Caenorhabditis elegans: one gene and its partner. The protein of the gene in region 1 interacts with the protein of each later gene in a biochemical or structural test. Each region holds a gene or a part of one and is shown on either strand. Other genes may lie near its edges.

Region 1 (7,083 bases):
GGAGAGAGAGAGAGAGAGAGAGAGAGAGAGAGAGAGAGAGAGAGAGAGAGAGAGAGAGAGAGAGAGAGAGAGAGAGAGAGAGAGAGAGAGAGAGAGAGAGAGAGGAAGAAAAGACGTCGAGTATTTACCCGAATTACATGTTCTATTCAAATTGTGGTAGAGATGGAGACCGGGAAACCGGCTGACTGGGGTGTATGTACCGAAGGTGTCTCTAATTGGTAGGTGGTCTTGAGCTGAATGACAGTTCAATGCCAGTTTTGTAAACTGGGAACACTGGCCGAACAAACTTGGAAATTCAGGAAAAATTGTTAGCTAGGCGGGAAAATTCCCCAAAATTTTGAACTTTTGGGCGCTCAAAAGTTGCCCTTCAAAAGCACGTCCCATTTCGGTGTGATCTACCTAGATCTACAAAAATGGCGGGGATTTAGATGCAGACTTCTCAACTGATTTTGCATGGTTAAAACGTGCTGATGTCACAAAAAATCCCGCATTTTTTGTAGATCAAACAGTATTGGGACAGCCTGACACCGAAAGTAAGAATTTTCGCATTAAGGGCCTACCCTAGAAATTTGTATCTGAGAACCAAAATCTGAGGGAAAACCCTGGGAATTGTAGAGTAGTTTCCACCGAAAACCTTACACAAAAAGAGTCAAAACTTGCGTCTACTTGCCGTGGCGAGACCTACTCGGTACTATTGTAATTTCTTTCTAAATTTCCCGCATTTTTTGTAGATCAAACAGTAATGGGACAGCCTGACACTAAAAGTAAGAAATTCCGCAATAAGCGCCTGAAAATGTCAAATAAAACCCCTAGAAATTAGTACCTAAGACCCTGCAAATTCCTTTAAAAAATTTGAAAATGCAGCGCATTTGCCTAGTTCTCGGAAGAAAATCCTAGGAATTTTAGAATTTTTACGAAAATCGTGGCGAGACCCATTAGGCACTACTGTAGTTTCTATTTTGGTGTGTGCGCTTTCATTTATTCTCATTTATTTCCATTTCAACTGACATGCCATTCACTTGCCCCTTGAAAAATGCCGAGAAGCCGATCACACAGCTCTCCTCGTTTCTTGAAATTGCGGGGGAGATGCTCTCTCTCTCTCTTTCCCGCCGCGCCGCCCGTTGATGCTCAGTGAGCCCTCGGGAGCCTATTGGCGGGGAGGAGTTGTTGTAAAGCAAACATCTCGTTGTAATCAGTTGGAAGAGAAGAAATTGAGAGAGAGAGAGAAGCTAGAGAGACTTAGAGATTAGACAATGGCGCAGGCAGGGGAAGGAAGCCCCCAACAGCACTTCATACACTCCTCGAACTTTATCTTCTTCTTCTTCTTCGCCTCTCGCTCATTTGAGCAGTAACGGAAAATGGGATTGAGCTTTTCGCAAAGAAATTGGATTTCGGCGCGCCAAGTTGTGTGCAAAAAAAACGTCGGGAGAGGGAAAAAAGTTCTCGACAAAAAAAGGTTTTTTTCCTAAAAATCACTGATATTTTTCCACTTCTACCGCTTTAAAGGAGGGCGCACTTACACGAAATGGTCCCGCCACGCATTGATTTTTGGGCCGCGTGGCGGGACCATTTCGTATAAATGCGCCCTCCTTTAAAGTTGGAGAAGTGGAAAAAAATGCACTGTAGATATTCTAGGAATCTAGATAAATTCGGTGATGCGTGGGATTCAAAATAGGCTTAACATACACTTGAAATACTCCGAAGTTGGAAATATTGAGCATTTTTTTCGAAGACTATGAAAAGTAATGCATGAAAAATCACCACGAGGAATTTGAATTCTGCTGGATTATTATATTACACGTGGTGTCAGAGTGGCTCACTTCGGTTTGATCTACATAAATGCGGGAGAAGAGACGCACAGTTCTTAACTGATTTCGCATGGCTAAGAATGTGCTGACTAAAAATTCCCACATTTTTTGTAGATCAAACTTCAATGAGACAACCTGGCACCACGTGTTAATAGATCACATTCGCTTAAAGTTACCGCCAGACTAGTGAAATTCCAAAAAAAATGCCACTGCTCTAAGCTTTAAATTTTTAGGATCAGTACTTGAAAACTAATAGCTTGTTAAGCTAGAAAATTAAATATCACATGGCACCACTTAGAATTTTCCGAAATATTGAAAAGTAGCCTTGCAAAATTTGGCTAAGGCCGGAGCTTAAGAATGTTTTAAGCCAACAAAATTTTTTCAAGAACGTATAGCAATGACTAAAGGGAATTACATAAATTGACAACACTTTTTGCTCACAATCAGTTTTCAATAAAACAGTATAATGACAACTTACAAAATTGGGAAATCTGGAAAACCGAGCTAAAAGTGATGCCAATCTGGTTTGAACATCATTACATAATGTTATATAACATGCTAACTAGATAACAGCCACACCCTGATCAAGTCTTTTTCGGGAAAGAAGGATTTCTACAGTACCCTATCTCTGACTCTCGACGGAATGAAAAAAGTGAATCATGATTGAATACAGTACAATGTATACCAAACATTTGAAGAAACAATATATATATATATATATGAACATTATTGAAAAAAGAAGACACACACACACACACAAAACAATAGCTACCCCGGTGGGGGAAGAAGCCTATGGGAAGTGAGAGAAAGAGGGTGGAAAAGAGAAAAAAACCGCGGATCATCATCAACGTCACCCTCTCTCACTCATTTTCATGCCCAAAAGGACAGGAATGGAAAACTAGCTGTATATATGTATGTATCTCTCTCTCTTCATTCCAACTACTCACTGACTAATTAACGGATTAATTGACTTTGAACATCGCGCCACAAACCTGGTCGTTGTGCTTGTGGATTGGGAATTGGAAATACCTGAAGTCGGTTTAGAAACCAAAAGCTGCCCGGATTGGGCTTTAAAAAGAAAGTCGACTCACCTCTTGAACGGTCTTCTCCTTCTCCTCGAGCTTGGAGGTGGCGGCGGAGAGGTCCTCCTGAAAAATGGAAGTTTGATTTTGAGCTTATTCTTTTAGCTTAGCTTAAGCCTAAGTGTTTCAGCTTAGGAGCATAAGCCCAGGGAGACAGGTAGACCTAGGTGGACGATGCACCATGAGCTTCGAATTTGATTTCTAGTGGTGTCCTAGGTAAATTTTAGATTCCAGGTTAAATTTTTAGGGCTAAAAGTTACAAATTGAGCACCCTGCACTATGAATTTCGAATTTTGTTTTTAGGGTGATTTTTAGTTATACTTTAAGATTTTATAGGTTACTTGAGCGCCAGTGTCTCTAAAAAATTTTGTTTTCTGAAATCGGACTGTAATCAAAATTCGCTATATATAAGGTATTGTAAAAGCTTGATTCCAAAAAATTAGGAAATTTAGAGCTCAACTTCTGCTTTTCAGAACTTTGCTCAGTTTCAGGCCAAAATCTTCCGGGATAGCGGCTTTAAGTTGAGAAAGTAGGTATTAATAATACGCTAATTATATATGGTATCAAAGTAGAAGCTAGACAATATTTTGGAACTTCTAGAAACTCCTGCGATTTTCATGAATTTTTAAGCTTCCTGGTAAAAATCTGATAGCTTAAAGTCTTATCAAACCAAGATCTAAGCGAAAATTTAGGAAGCCAGTTTATATGGGGTCTTAAAATCGATAAAATATACGCAAAGAGCCTAAATTCTGGCTTAAACCCATACCTGAGCCTTGTCCAAATCGTCTCCGGTCTGAGTCATCTTCTTCTGGGTGTCTCTGAGCTCTTCCTCGACTCTTTCGAGCTTCTCGGTGATCTGACGGACTTTCTCTTCAGCGGCATCGGCACGATCGAGAGCGTTGTCCTAGAATATGTGTATATGGTTTTGAGGAAAAATTCAAAATATTGGAATGTATATGACCACTACTAATTTTAAAATTGAAAAAGTTGAAGAAATTCACTATAAAACAGTATTAAAATTTAAAAAAAGTGTGGAAACCTTCTCGATCTTCATGGCCTGCATCTTCTTCTTAATGGCGTCCATTTTTGGTAGTTTGTTGTTGTGTTGAAACACACGGAGTATCGACGATTCAAATTGGAGGGGAGAATGATTCTTCTTCTCCCGTTAGCTTCAGGTTCCCGTCTTCACGAGACTCCTCCCACACGAGCCCCCGCTTCTTCTTCTTCTTCTTCTCTCTTCTCACTTCCTCCACAACATCAGACGGGGGTGTGGCAGATGATTAGATAGTATTGATTTCGTGGAGACCTATGCCTATGGGATCCCTGCCCACCCACCCCCCTGGAGCATATTACAGCACACACGGAGCAACGGGAATTGTGGGGAGAAGAGCAAGAGCCGATGGCAGATGGAAAAGATGATGATTGGGGAGAAGAAGGGTTTCTCGTGGAATGGAAAAAGGAACAAAACTTTAAAAAAAAACCACATAATTAGTAAGGTGGTATGGTGTTCCAGGACCGATATTCGCGTGGTCGCTTGATGACGTGGCAAAAGCCGTTCTGAGCCTCTTTACATTAAAAAATTGAAACGATTATCAATTTGATTGTTAATTACGTTATCGTACAAATAGTAACGATATTTCTTATATATCTAGACTGTTAGTAATAATAACCATAAGTGATGTAAAATCAAATTGCTGCAAAATTTTCGAAAATTTAACTCAAGATTGACTAAAACTTTAATAAATTATTAAAGTAATGGTGTCATTAAAATTAGTTACATTTTTAAGGACATCCTTAAATTTGAACATTAATGGAGTTAAAATTAAAAAATAAGTGTCTCATTTTCGAGGCCTAACAAGGCTTCAACCTTAACATTAACATTACTGGTAGCCTTTTTTAAAGCCTATTAACAAGCCTTCAAGCCTAACATAACGAAATCATATTGCCTTTCACCATACATCCAATATGAACAGATATCATAAATCTGGGCTTCCCTAGTAATATTACACTACGAAAGAGTATGCTACAAGTATGGTTTTTTTCCAGTTGAACCTTTTTTTAAGAACCTTGAAACTTTATGGAAAGGGTTGCAACACTAATGCACACGTGATATAAGATATCCTATTACTGTAACTATTCATGAATGAATTTTTAAAGAAAACTGAACAATCAAAACTGAATTTTAAAAAATATGACAAGCTCAGTTTTTACAGTGCCATGTTACATAGCTTTGTTCTCCGGAATTTGATTAGTGTCTAATTTTACAATAAGAAGTACCACATTTCATCTTTCCAATTTTCATACATTCCCATATTTTTCCATTTCTCTTTACCCACTATTAGGGCTGTACAACCGGACGTCCGGTCGTCCGAAGTTCGAACCGGACGCACATGCGTCCGGTTGGGGGTAGCTATCCACGACGGCCGACAATTTCCGAATTTCGCCACTCACTATAAAATTGCTGATTAAGTATAGTGAGTGGCGAAACTCGGAAGTTGTCGGCCGTCGTGGATAGCTACCCCCAACCGGACGCATGTGCGTCCGGTGGTGTCAAAATCGGACGACCGGACGCCGATTTGTACAGCCCTACCCACTATCCATAGAAACGCATTTACTTCCCTTAAACTTTTTTTTGTTATTGTTCTTTTTTTTTATCTCAGATTCCCAAAAGTCGGTCAATGATCAGAGTCTCAGTTTTTGAAATCCTGACATTAGAATCCAATACTACTTGTGTGTATATGCTCTTCTTCTTATCCCCGAAAAGAAGCAATTGTGGCATCCAGCCGACGACAAAACATTCGAAACAGTTGGCGTTCGAGAGTTTATTGTCAAGAGGGCAACTTGTTTGATAATATCAGTGGATTATGTGGAAGAGGTATAATAGTAGTGGTTTATTTTGAATTTAGGGTTATATTTAATGATTTTGTAGGAGAATACTTGTTAAAACTATTTATCATAGACAGTATTTCTAAATAAGTCGTGATAATTTAATGTCAACTAAGATTCGTGATCATGTATATATGCATGTATGTATGTATTACGATTATATAATGGTGATGAAAAATAGATCCATGAATAGTACCAGCTACTTGCTACACTATTTCCTATCGATTAGTCTTGCATGTAATATGACTAGGGGGACCTCGTTATATAATATCTGTTCGTATTGGATGTGTCGGAAAAGAAAAGACACTTCTTTTCTAAATTTCATTCTATCCGAATTAATGTTCAAAATGACATATTTACTATAATTATGCATTGACGGATTAGTCAATTTTCAGATAAGTTCGCAAAATTAAGTACTTCAACCCAATTTTATATCAAACGTGATTACCATAACTTCTAGTCTACATAAGGCTAGAGGAAATATTGTTACTTTTTGCACGCTATCGTAAATTGAACGTTAATGAAAATAAGTAGTGTCAGCCGAAATTTCCTGAAGACTGTGGTTTTCTGTCTGAATTTAGCATTTTTCGTATTTACTGCATTATTTCATTAAGCTTTACTACTCAGCTACGCTTTTTAAAAAAAAACTTAAAATTTTCCGGATATTTACCATAGCAAATAATCATTTCCCATTAGAGGCTATATAGCAATAACAGTTCTAATACAGTATAATATAGTATATATTCAATTTTTGTCAGGTTTAGTAATTTTTTCAATACAAATTTTTGAACATGCAATTGTTATCTAACGGTATCAAAATTTACTATAATAGTGTACACATTCCATTTTTCGATTTTCCGTTACTGAATATATTTACGGTAATACTTAAACAAAATCCTTATAATCAATTTTTATTTTAAGTCGGTGTTCCATTTCAGTATATATTCAGGTTAATAATTTAATATTTAAATAAGTCAATTTTTGCTCTATTAGACTAAAATGCCCCAAAAAGACCGAATTTCGTAATGAGAAGTTTTCAAGACGTCTCATTACAAAATCCGGTAGTTGGGGACAGTTTGCCTCCAATTTCATTACTGTAAAACAATATAACACAATATTGTTTTTGAACGGATATGGGGATTTTTGATGTTTTTAGCAATATCGAAAACAGTGTACATTTTTCTTTTTCCGGTTTTCTGTTAATGTATATTCATTCATATGCATGTGTATATATTTACGGTAGTACCTTAATAAAATTTCCAAATTTCAATATACTCGTCAAATGAGAACACCCATGTGTTCTCTCG
Region 2 (5,025 bases), on another chromosome or scaffold:
CAGTTTTTTTTTGTTTATTAGACTCAGTAATATACTAGTACAGTACTTTTGGAAAACTATTGACTTTTCATTGAAATGTGCTCTCCTGTTTGCTTTTCCAAGCTATCAACTTCCCTTGATTTTCTCCATAGATCACGATAATCTTCAAATTTACTGCAGCATTGTATCATAACAGCTAAACTGTGAATATGAATATTGCTGATTAAGTTCTGCACAATTAAAAGAGATATTTTCATGTATCAATTTTCAACAGATGGAAACTTGATCGAAATTTTGAAATTGCAAGAACAGTTTTTTTGGCGTCTGTGGTGTTGAATGTTGTGAGTGTTTCAAAATTGTGTCAAAAATATTTGAAATACTTTTTGAAACGTTATCTGACAAATGAGTTTGTCAAAGCGTCCCAAAATTATTCGCACTATTCTTAGAGCCCAGGAGAGTGATCCTCTCATGTTTTCCTCCCACGTTCTCCTTCACTTATCACTTTTAACCAGACACTCCCTACTACACTTCACACTTCCTTCTCATATTTCTTCAAGGATTCAAACACACAAGTCTGACCACCAAGATTTTATTAGCACACACGTTGTTGACATTTAAATTTCCGGGACCCATCGAAGGAAGAATAAAATGGTAAAAAAGTATTTTACAAACTACAGAATATTGATGTTGGCATATTTTTTTTTGGGGAGGGGGGTTGTTCGGTTTGATGACGTCGATTTGGATGATGTTGAGCAGGATTGAAGTGATGGATTTAGGAGTTTACTCCTCCTCCTCCTCCTCTCCTTCCTCTTCCTCTGCAAGTTTTCAGTTATCGAGAAAATCTAAATCATTTTTGACAAACCGGCTTCTGGCTCAGCCTCGGCTTCCTCTGCAACTGGCTCAGCTTCTGGAGCAACGGCAGCTGGAGCGGAGTCTTCGGCCTTGGCATCCTTGTTCTTCTTGGACCAATCTGGCTTGTCGTCCTTCTTCTTCTGAAATTGAAATATTTGTTTATCAAAATTCTCGAACATTGCAGATAAAACTTACAACATTGACGATGGCCTCCATAACGTCCTTCTTGACAATCTTGAGGTTGGCACGGAAGTCTTCCTTGGTTCCGGCCTTGCTCTCACCGCTCTTCTTGAACTTGTTGTCGTACTTCGACACCTTCTTGAGTGAAGGCTTGACGCTGAAAAATAAAAAGTAAAATCAATACTTTGGATGATTTTACATATATGGGAAATTCATCAAAAACTGATAAAAACTCACAACTTTCCACGAAGATCGTTGACCTCAATAGTGAGGGAGTTGATCTCAGCCTCAGTCTGGGAGACGACGTAGTTGATGTCGTACTTCTCCTCCTCGAGCTGGGTAAGACGAGCCCAGAGGTCATTGTAGATCTTCTCGAGTTGTCCCTTATCATCAATGGAGTCAACATTTGGAAGTGAGATGGTTCTGTCAGCAAGAGCCTTTTGTCTTTCTTGCTCCTTAAGCAATTGTTGTCTCTTAAGATCCTCGGCGGCCTTGACCATCAAAAGCTTCTGAAATCAAAAATAAGTTAAACATTTAAGTGTTCCAAAAACACAACTTACACGAAGCTTCTTCTTACGCTCTGGTGTCAAGAATCCCTTCTTGGCCTTCTTCTTGTTTCCGGCCTCTTCGAGACGCTTGCGCACCTCGGCCTTCTTGGCCTCGCGCTCGGCAGCTTTGCGCTGGGCGTCCTCTCCGGCTTCTTCACTCATCTGAAATTTTAGTTTGGGGTACAAGTATCACAAAACAGAAGATTAAATTCACAAAATGAATAATTTTTGAATGAGCATAAAACAAATTAGCGGCGAGCCTGATCATGCATCCGAAGGCCTTGTGAATTGAAATCTGAAGTATCCTGCCAATAGATGTCGCAACTCGTGAGAGGTACCTAGAGTTGGCAACAGCCGCCCCACAAACCGCCCGCCCTCCAATTCTGTATCTTTGGGTCTCTCGGACAATGCCATACAGACAGATGCTCTTTCCAACACGTCTCCCGCTTGTTGTAATGATTCTTGCCTACCAATTGCGTTGGCCGAGATTGATTGAAGACAAGCGAGAGATAGGGATAGAGCTGTGGCAACTTCAGTGGAAAAAACCAACGGAACGCGGCAAGAAGATATTGGTTTCAGATGGGGCAGTGGGTCAAGTTATGAGCTATTCGGTGAATGGGGCTCCGAACAATTTATGAAGCTAGTCTGTAGTTTTTCTGTATTTTCAAAAAGAAGATATGTGATCAAAAATCAAAATCGTACTACTAAAAATACCTAAACAATTTTTAAAATAACATACTGATTTTTCAACGGTGTCACTGAGTTCATCAATTCGATTGCTTTTTTGTAGTTGTGACATGGCTCGCTAGTGAGATCTGTAAATATTTGTTGGATAAATTGTTTCAAAAGTGAATTGGAACATGACATTTTTCATCAGAATCAAGAATAATTTTATTTATTTTTTCACAGTGTTTTGTTTTCAACCATTTCTCTTTCAGTTCCATAATTTCATGCTGTCACGTAGGATTTGAGTAGGTCAGAAAACAAAAAAACCTAAAAAAAAATTGACAAGCTGACAAGTGTGACGTGTGGAAAAATACAATAAAAATAGTCACGGTGGCCGGTGAGACTCTCTTGAAATTCAATATGTTAGGGACCATGAGTTGAAAGTGTTGCGAGGTGTGGGCAGATGTTTGAGATTTGTGATAAGTGATAAAGAAAAAAGATAGCGGGGATAATGAAATTGGGTATGCAAATCATCATTAGTTATCACAAAAAGTTGAATATTATTACTTTCAAATTGAATTTATCAGTTGTTATCATAAAGTAGTTATTTTTGACAAGACTATAAAATAAGTGAATCTAAATCATTAAAAAAATCACACATTCAAAAATCAGATCACAACGAGAAAAATCTACATTTTCCAACAATGGTAAATAACAACCCGAAACTTGTAAATAAATTCCAATTCCCTGTAACTATTTTCACACCCATTTTAGTTTATGGAGTAGTGATGGATTAAACCGATCTATTGTCCTGTTTATTTTTAACACTTTTTTCCATAAACATTCACATTCTTATCTTGAATTGTTTTCAACTGTGTTATCACGCTTTTCTGCCAATCTCCGAATAGTTTACACTGTTTTCTTCTGATGCGGCAAGCTCTATCTTTCTTTTGATACATTGTTCATTGCAACGAGTATATAGAGAAAGAGAAACATCGGAAGAAGATACAGAAAAATAGCTGATGGAGGCGATGATGATGTTTTGGTTAAAAACGTTGAGCAGTAGTGGGGGCACAAGTGTTACGAAATATTATTATACATGAGCGGTTGTCATATGGGTAAATTAATTGGCACTACCGAACTTTTACAGCTTACAATTTTTTACTTTTAGAAAATTATTTCTTGATTGCTATCAAGGAATAATTTTCATTAGAAGTAGTGTCCTCAGTGAGGTATAACTAATAATGAGCTAAATTGGGTATAAATAAAGTAATATTGGAACTTGATCACATAATCCCTGTTCAGTTGTATGTATTGGAAGTAGGTGTTGGAGCTTGCACAAATTCTCGAAATTATCCTAAAAACTCAAACTTTCCGTAAACAAAATTCACCACAGCTTCGCATTAAAATTTTTTAGAAATTCAAAAATCCTAGGAGTGTTAAATTATGACATTTGGTTATTTTGGACAAGTATAAGTGAGAGAAGGAAAAATGTGCGAGTGCTATTTTACTCATTTCGGATCTTTATTATTATCAAGAGCGCATTTATACGTTCTTGGTTAGTGACAGTATGATTAAAAAAATTTATATCGGTTTGTTGTCAAAACTTCAAAAAAAGTTTGTATAAACAATACGCTCACTCAATACGTATCGACAACTCCTCGTTCAAAAAGTAATATTAATGTACGTTTGATCACTTAAAAGCAGGATATCAAAATATTTTTATTGTTTACAATTTAAGCTGCTTTGTGAAATTTACAAAAGAGATTTATTGCAAAATCTTTAAAACCAGATGAAAATGTTATTGTGAAAAATGGATAGCAAAAGGTTAACAATGTAAGCATGAGATATGAGATTTGATGTAAATTAATATTGATATCAAATTTAAAAAAAAAATAGAGATTCAATTTTGTTAATACCCAAACTGAAATTGTACATTGTCTATGTTTATCGTTTTACCATAATTTTGAGATACTATTTCACTCGTTATAAGTTCCCATCTGCCTCTCACCAATTACAATTCAATGGCAGACAGCGTGCACAATTAGGAGAATTGAACATGACAAACAACAACTGACGTGATCAGTCAGTTGTTAAAAAAGTTAAGGCAGCATGAATTCGGAAGAAGTGAGAAATGAATTAAGATCAAGGATCAGAGATAGGCAATTTCTTCTTCTTCAGCATCTGTGTCAATTTCGTTATCCAAAAGAAGCCCCGTGTCGCAATTGTAGTTTGTTGCACTGCTGCGAAAAACATTTGAGTTGGATGAATAAGATCTGAAACTGAAAATTGCCCAGAGGATAATGGAAATAAACCAGTGAAAAATTCAACACTGTTCTACAAACACGTTTTATATACACAGCAAATACAAACAATCAAGCATCAAAAACTGGTAATATATTAGTACGACTTTTTTTTTCATAAACGTGCTTACAGAAGATTAAATTTCCAATTTATTTCTGGAGTCTTAAAATAATGTCAGTCACTTAAAACAATAAATCGGCTAAAAATAGAGAGATACTAAGACTATAAAAACAAAAAAACAATAAAAACAAGCCGCATTTTTGAAATGACAAACTTTCCAAAATAAAAAGTTTGTTGTGAAAACAGTTAGTATTCTTTTAATATTCGTATTCTCTTGACAGACTTGATTTTGCATCATTTCTTTCAAACGCATTCATAGGTTAAATAGTAGGTTATTTGTAGTATGTTTGATGTCGTATGTATATTTCATGTAGTATATTTGATTATCTATTTTTTCAAAATTCTCTAATCACCTTTAATTTATTAGTTTTGTTTG

What was found.
Region 2: the proteins of lev-11 (region 1) and unc-27 interact in far-western blotting, tested with the Caenorhabditis elegans proteins (one study listed by BioGRID).

What each region holds. Positions count from the first base shown.
Region 1 is NC_003279.8:14,626,986-14,634,068, forward strand, and holds the start of lev-11 (Tropomyosin isoforms a/b/d/f), read right to left. Parts: upstream 4,110-7,083; 5' UTR 3,975-4,109; coding exon 3,930-3,974; intron 3,795-3,929; coding exon 3,657-3,794; intron 2,957-3,656; coding exon 2,900-2,956; intron 68-2,899; exon of another isoform or gene 1-67. UniProt on the Caenorhabditis elegans protein: Tropomyosin, in association with the troponin complex, plays a central role in the calcium dependent regulation of muscle contraction. Involved in muscle actin filament organization and muscle arm extension and morphology.
Region 2 is NC_003284.9:8,786,152-8,791,176, reverse strand, and holds unc-27 (Troponin I 2), read right to left. Parts: upstream 1,722-5,025; coding exon 1,572-1,721; intron 1,521-1,571; coding exon 1,249-1,520; intron 1,169-1,248; coding exon 1,027-1,168; intron 972-1,026; coding exon 842-971; intron 795-841; coding exon 760-794; 3' UTR 556-759; downstream 1-555. Other genes in the region: ZK721.3 (G_PROTEIN_RECEP_F1_2 domain-containing protein), read right to left, coding at 4,378-4,501.